Pelodiscus sinensis: one gene and its partner. The protein of the gene in region 2 interacts with the protein of the main gene of each other region in a biochemical or structural test. Links are inferred from orthologs where the notes say so. Each region holds a gene or a part of one and is shown on either strand. Other genes may lie near its edges.

Evidence for each region. The genes of interacting proteins can lie anywhere in the genome.
Region 1: of the proteins of ERBB2 (region 2) and PTPN3, one has a biochemical effect on the other in vitro, tested with the Homo sapiens proteins (2 studies listed by IntAct, with this or other methods). The link is inferred for Pelodiscus sinensis from reciprocal best matches to the Homo sapiens genes ERBB2 and PTPN3.

What each region holds. Positions count from the first base shown.
Region 1 is NC_134712.1:148,659,421-148,663,168, forward strand, and holds the start of PTPN3 (tyrosine-protein phosphatase non-receptor type 3), read right to left. Parts: upstream 2,986-3,748; 5' UTR 2,883-2,985; coding exon 2,834-2,882; intron 1-2,833.
Region 2 is NC_134739.1:11,545,284-11,549,031, forward strand, and holds the start of ERBB2 (receptor tyrosine-protein kinase erbB-2), read right to left. Parts: upstream 2,549-3,748; 5' UTR 2,423-2,548; coding exon 2,344-2,422; intron 1-2,343. UniProt on the Homo sapiens protein: Protein tyrosine kinase that is part of several cell surface receptor complexes, but that apparently needs a coreceptor for ligand binding. Essential component of a neuregulin-receptor complex, although neuregulins do not interact with it alone.

The DNA of each region.
Region 1 (3,748 bases), on a different chromosome or scaffold from region 2:
AGACACATAGTGGTATAAATAGGCTATAGCATATTACTATCGACAATTTGTGTGCAAGAAGTAATGTCAATGATATCTAAGTTATGTACAATCAGAAAAGGAGATGGGCTGGCCATGTAGCGAGACCGAGAGACAACAGTTGGGTAGCACGCATACTCCACTGATATCCACGAGACATAAAAAGAACAAGAGGAAGGCCTCCAGCACGTTGTGTGGGTCCTTTATGGAAGATTCATGGAAGAATATGGACAAGAACCACACAAAACAGGATGGCGTGGAAAAGTTGAGATCTGCACCATTAGCGATACTATCCATATCGATTAAATCATAGATCTTCCAAGTTAGTATTTTGAAATAACAAGCGCAGCATTCACGCTACCCGCCTGTTATTTCGAAATAACGGGCTGATTATTTCAATATATATACTCCTATTTTCCTTGGGAAATAACGCTTATTTCGAAATTGTTATTTCACAATAGTGTTAGTGTGAATGATCTGGTTCTGCTAATTCAAAATAATTAGCCTCCAGAAGCCTCTCTCAGCTGCACTTGTGGCTGCTGTAGCCACACCTTGGCTGAAACTCTCCCCCAAGGCTTCCCTGAATAATACAGCCCCTTGATGTGCTCATCAAATGGCAGTGGTGTCCAGCTGCTCATATGCACTGGTCAGCCATTCAGCCTCTGCCCCCCATCCCGGCAGGAATGTCTCCCCCTCACTCTCTGAGGGTATGTCTAATAGTTAATTCAAAATAACGCCTCTATACACAAAAACTATTTCGAAATAATTTGTACTGCACAGACTGTGGCAGAAACAAGACAGTCATTGCTTCCTGAACATTGATTTCATATAAACTTAAAAGGTACAATATACAGAAAAAAGATCAAGAATCATAGTTTTATAGCCACAATACAGCAACTCTAAATATAATTTGGGGCAGCCTGAAAATACCCATTGCATTCATTTTACATCAATGCCTTGTAGGGACTGCTTCTTTGCCTGTCAAGCTGAGCCTGGTATAAGACTGATATGGGTGCAAAGAAGACTTAATGCTGCCTCGTTAAGTCCGCATTCTAGAGGCTTGCCAGGGAGATCCAAGGATTGGTTCAGTCCTCAGAGTATCCCCTGTTCATTCTAAGTTGCTTCCTGCTACCTATGGCCCCAAAGGGGCAGCTTGTCAGTTGAGGACAACTGTGCTCTGACCACCTCTCCTTGTGAACCACCACATTCCAAACACAGAGGCCTGAGTGCAGGAGAATAGCTATTGGGTCTCCCTAAACCTTCCGTATGCAAGCATTATCTTCAGGAGGCTAGTTAAGCCAATTTACAGTCTCTTTGAGCTGAGTGATGCAGAAGGGCTGAGGATCTGGTCTTAGGTCTTTCCTTTTGGGATCTATAAAACCTTCAGTAATAGGTTCAGAAAGATTCTGCCAACAGTCACGAACAAGACAAAAGTACAAAATTATCATGGAGGATTCTCCTTTTTAATGACAACCTTATCCGATTCTCTTCTTATTTAATCAGTGTAAAGAAAAAAAATCTTTCAGGAACTTGAAACAAAGAACATGAAACAAGCTACATTTCTATTTTCAGAACCAAGCTGATCCTTCTCCAAGGGTGTGTCTACACAGCAGGGCTTAACTCGAAATAAGCTACGCAAATTGAGCTATGTCAATTGCATAGCTTATTTCAAAATAGCTTATTTCGAGTTTTGGTGCTGTCTACATAACACTTATTTTGAAATAGAGCACTCTTCCTCCGACTTCCCTTACTCCTCATAAAATGAGGGTTACAGGAGTCAAAGTAAGATGTCCTGCAGCTTGACAGTATTTCAGCATTATGTCAAAATAACTTTCGGCTGTGTAGACACAGACTATGTTATTTTGAAATAATGTTGCTGTGTAGACATAGCCCTAGAAGAAAATGTTAACTGGAGTCATCCTACTTAAGCTTCCAAACCAAACAAACCTAGCAATTTGAAAGTGCGTAGCATGCCTTCAGTCTCTGCATCAGTCCTTCACTGTGGCAGGGTGTTCAACTGATTCATCAGCACACCAGTTCCACCCTGATGAATTGATTCAAACAGCTCCAGCTCCAAGTTATTCAACCCACATACATTAGTTTCCAGCCAACTAAGCTTTCAGGTTCCTGCTACATGGTTAGTTCATGTAGTGCCTAAAGTTCTATTTGCTATTGCCTGGAAGAGAGTTGATTTCTTAACATTAAAAAAAACCCTAAATTCATGATGACTTTTTATCATTCACTAGTTGTTTAATTTACCACAATTAAAGGAAATATTAGAAATTAGTATAGAAGCTCTGGAAGTTATTTTCTTGGATCAATTTAAGACTCCTGTCACTGCATTGTAATTCTCAGCTGACATTTGGACAAGCTGATAGAAAGCTTGCCAATAACTCAGAAAAAAAATAAGTTTTCACAGTGTCAAAAAAAAAAAAAGACACTGCAAGATAAAAAACACACTGTTGTGGCAAAATGCTTTCACAGCACTTCAGTCTGTCACTCAAGATATTTAAACTCATTGTTCAAGTCCTCTCGACTGAGGCAGACACTACAATACAGTTCTTTGCTAATACAAGCAATAAATCCAACATTAAATAAAAAAACCTTTCAAGATACTTCACACAAGAGTCCTTCTCTTTTGTGCTGTAAAAACCTTGATTATATTGCAAGTCTAGAAATATAAAGTTAATTGCTTCATTCTTTATAGTTTTAAGACTTCTCCTTTTCCTCTCCCATACCTAATTGCTTTTTTTCTCATTTGATCTGTCAGGTAATGTTTTTGATTCTTATATAAAAATCAAACGTGGTCACTTACACTTTTCTTGAGGACAAAAACATTTTGATAACATCTCCTGCTCCACCATAATGGTCCTTTAGGGGTGTTTGAAAGATCCCTTGAATAGCAGCACTTTGAAAAGGGAAGCTCACTTATGCAAACTTCTGATCTTCTCTCTTACGCCTAGCTCCTGTGTGCTGTCACATTAAATTGTTATTTTCCCTCCTGAGAAACCTGTAAAACAGGTCCAGGTACACAAATCTAATGTTGCAGGAGAGGTTTTAACTGTTTCATTGCAACAAATGTCCACCCTTAAAAAAATGCTCTATGTCTATGCACTGTGTTGTTAAAGGGAGTAGTTTCTTAATACTTCATTTGAAGTTCCAAAATCCACAGAATCCAACAGCCTGTGTACTTTAAAGGTAAATTAGTTTAAAATTAATTAATGTATTCGTGAAAAACACAGGACAGAATTTAAAATAAAGATTATATAGTGAATAAACTTTACCAATCAGTGTAGTACAATAAGGGTTCCTCTTTCTTTTGTGTACGTTTTTGGGTACTCTCATTAGTGTTGCTTTGTATATGTCAGTGGAGAACAGCCTTGCTATATGTGCAGTTTGGGTGTATGTTTTTGGTCATGCTTGGGTACAAATAAAAAATGCAGACAAATTAAAAATCTATCCAATTATTTAATCACTTTTAGTCATTCTTAATGTTTGGTATTTCTCTGCTTTGCTATACACATTGGCTATGTCTACCCTGGTGGCTCCTTGCGCAAGAACTTCTTGCGCAAGGGTTCTTGTGCAAGGAGTCCTACACAAGAACACGTCCACACTGCCATGTGTGAGATGTGCTTTTGCGCAAGAGCGCCCATGGCAGTGTGGATGCGTGGCAGGAGTTCTTGCGCAATAAAATTCTATAGTTAAAGCAGCTTTCTTGCACAAGAGAGCG
Region 2 (3,748 bases):
TGGAGGTTAGGTCCATAAAAGGCTATTAGCCAGGGGGTAGAAATGGTGTCCCTGGCCTCTGTTTGTCAGAGGCTGGAGATGGATGGCACAAGACAAATCACTTGATCATTGTCTTTGGTCCACCCCCTCCGGAGTACCTGGTGCTGGCCACTGTCGGTAGACAAGCTCTGGGGCTAGATGGACCTTTGGTCTGACCCAGTATGGCCATTCTTATGTTCTTATGTATTTTGGAATCCATCTGCCTTGATGTCCCCATCCCCGGGAACGGGTTCCCTCTCTCCTGGACATTAGGGAAAACATTCATTGAAACTTTTTTCCCCCCGGATATTCCAATCCCGACAAACACAAAGCATCTTATTGGCATCTCACCTGGAACAGGTGATTCAGAATTCAGTGCCCACTTTCTGTTACGATCGCATCAGCTTCACAGGATTGGGCATGCATGTGGGACGCCCAGATACACACACAAGCACACAGGAAAACCCAAGCAGGGCACCAAACTTGGCAGGTGACGCTCTTTCAGAACTAACGTCCCACTGTGGCAATAAGGGGCAGGTTTTGGCTGATGTATCAGCTGAAATCCTTTAAGATCCTGAGGGATTATCTCATCTCAGGAGGGAGGAGGGAGTTAGCTCGACTGTCCTACCCAATTCCAAACTGAGTAGATACATTTTGCCGCTCTACATCCCCTTCACTCCTGCAGATTCAACTGAAGGAGTTTTCCCCTTCACTTTGTCCCTCAAACTGTTGGATAGTGTTGTTCTGTAGTATTAGGCAGCTAACACTGCCCACCTCCCCCGACACCAATAGGACCTTGTGAGTGAAGTTACTCCTGTATATGTAAAGTCTCTGACGGGCTGCAGGATGAGCGGTCCTCGATAAGATACTGTTATCTGAGAACTTTTCACTAAATATGGTGTATTGATGGGTATAAAGTAAACGTGCCAAATTTGCAAGTCCTAGTCCTACTTCCGCTAAGACATCAGAAAACAAACACTAAGTAAAGATTTAGGTTTCTGCTATGGATTATGTATCTACATCCAACATACTGGGCAACTCCCTTGGGCATCAGTAGCTAGAATTTCCTGTGTAAACCATGAGTGCTAACGAACTACAAAATGTAACTCGCCAATAACACTCGGCCCCACCGTATTTGACTACAGTAAACAGCTTGACACTCATCAACAGCAGACAAGATGGATGAGGTGGGAACATTTTCAATAAACAACTTGCCTTCAGCATAAAGCAACGAGGCTAAAATCTTTCTGGCCTTACCTACTTCCTTGTCATAAATACTGAAACATGCAAAATAAGCATTTACCTGTGACCCGCCCCCTCACCACAACTGACTGGAGTCCTCCCCTCTGCAATTTGTAATATAAACTCCTTTCCAGACTATTACATTTGTGGGTGAGATAGAAAACAATTGGCCGGGTAAACTATTCCTGGGAACAGGATTCATCTGGAGAGGGTGGGATTTCCCACCCAAAGCAAAATACGATTAAAACGGAAAAAAATGCACCTTGTTTCGTTTATCCAAACACCTTTGAAAGTGCTAAGTCTGACCCAGGCCTCTGCCATTGTACAGAACCATGGGAGGAGTGACTCTAGGCAGTGCCTAGCCACACAGCTCTCTAGATCCCAGCCTGCACCTTTAGGGTCTGCAGGAGATTGTCATTTTCCTAGTAAGTAAGCCGCATGGAGCTTATTTTTGTAAAGCCACTGGTTCCGTGGGACAGCCCCCAAGGAAGCAAGGGAGTGAGAGAGAGAAACCATTTTAAAAACCTGCCAAGGTCTCCCCTCCCTGACACTCCCGGGGCAACTCGATTTTTCTGGCAGGTCTGAAGGGGGGGGAGAAGGAGTCAGAGTCCCCGGGAAAGAAAAGCAGCGATCGCTCTTCGGGGCGGGATCAAACCCCACAACCCATGGAAACAGGCTCCCTACTGAAGTGGCTCTGCCGGGCTGAATCCTCGCTAAGGACTCGTGGGACCTAGTCGCTGCCAGGATCGCTGAAGTCGTGAACCAAGGCTGCACCCTTTTACCCCACTGCCCCCCTCCCTCCCCCATGGGAGGCTCATTCCTGCGTGCTCGGGAGCTCCCGGGGCAACCCCGCGCCGATCGGCAGCGCTAGGTTCGCTCTCCGGCTGGATGCACGGGACACAAAACTTCTGCAAAGTTTGTTGGGTGGGCCCCCCTCTTCGCCCCCCCCCCCTTTCCCGCGGCTGGCTGGGCGCTTCCCAGCTCCGCTTTCCTTCGCCCACATCCCAAGCTCCCCCCCCCCCCCCTCGGAACTTTCCCTCTTTCCTCGCGCCCCGCACAAACTTTTCCCCAGCCCGGACCCACCGTCGTGGCTGCGGCCGCCGGGCAGGCAAGCGGCGAGGAGCAGCCCCATGCAGAGCCAGCCGCTGCTGGGGGGGGTCATTGTCTTCACTGCGGGCTGCAGCCCATGGCTCCGGGGTCTCTGCCGCGAGGGGGGGGCGGGGTCCCCCTGGCTCTGCGAACCCAGCGTCGTGCCCGCGCGGCACTTCCTCCTCGGGGCGGCGGGGACGCGCCGCGCGCCCCCGCGCGGGATTCCAACTCCCCTGGGAGTGGCGAGGCGCGGGCGCGCCCGGAGCCTGGCGCGCGTCCTGGGGGAGCAGCGCCTTGGATGCCCCGGCTGGCTCTGCCCTCCGGGGGGCGCGCCCGGAGGCTGCAGAGGGAGGAGGAGGAGAGCGAAAGATAAAAGGGCCGGGGGATGCCCCCTCCCTGGGCCATCTCTCCCCGGAGAGGCGAGGCGAGGCTCGCCAAGCGCTCCGAGGACCGTTCCGGAGCAGGGAGCTTCCTTCCCGAGCTAGGGGACCGGGCCGGGGATATTAGCCCCTGCCCGCGCCGTCTGGGATCCAGGGGCGGGTCTTTCTCAACTCTGCAAACACCTGCAAAAGCAGCTGGGTTTTCAAGTGGAGGGGCGGGGGAGTTCGACTCTCTCGCCCCATCTTTCTGTGCCCAAAGGGGTGGGGCACCTCAGGCCCGGGGCCTCCTAGTTTGCCTGGATCTGGCCCCCGAGGCTTAGGGCGCCCCCCCCAACACTGGGGAGCCTACACTGGTGCTTCAGCCCCCCTCCCTGCAGAGCTGGAGTGGGCAAAATGTACTAGCCTAGCCCCCCAAGCTCTGGTGCAGGAGGGGAATGTGGAGAGGGTCTTTCTCTTTCTCAGTGAGGGTTTGTTGGTTTGCTTGCTTCTCACCAGTGTGCTGCCCCCGACTGATTTTTCTCTGGATCAGCATCCCCCCCCCAAAAAGGTTCCCCACCTCTGGCCTGAACGGAGGCTGAGGGTTTGAAACTCTGCCGTGACTGCGGGTGTCGGACCCTTCTGAAAATTCTGGCCTCCTGCTCTACTTTGTAAGGGCGCTGAGTGCCCAGAGGCAGGGAGTCCGTGGAGGGCCTGAAACAATCGCCCGAGGGGCAGGCACTGGCCTCGGGGGAGGAGGTTAACTCAGAAAACGAATGAGCGCTCATGGCTGCTCCGTGTGAACAGAGCTCATTTTGCTACTGGCCAAGGTGGGCGTGAACAGGATGGTGCGATGGTGCAGAGCTGGAAGTAAAGAGAGGGGTTTGGTTTATGAGCAAAAGAACGGCCACACTGCATCAGCCCGGTGGCCCATCCAACCCAACCCAGCATCCTCTCTATGATGGTGGCCAGATGCTTCAGAGGGAATGAACAGAACAGGGCACTGTTGAGCGACCTATCCCTGCTGTCCAGCTCCAGCTTCT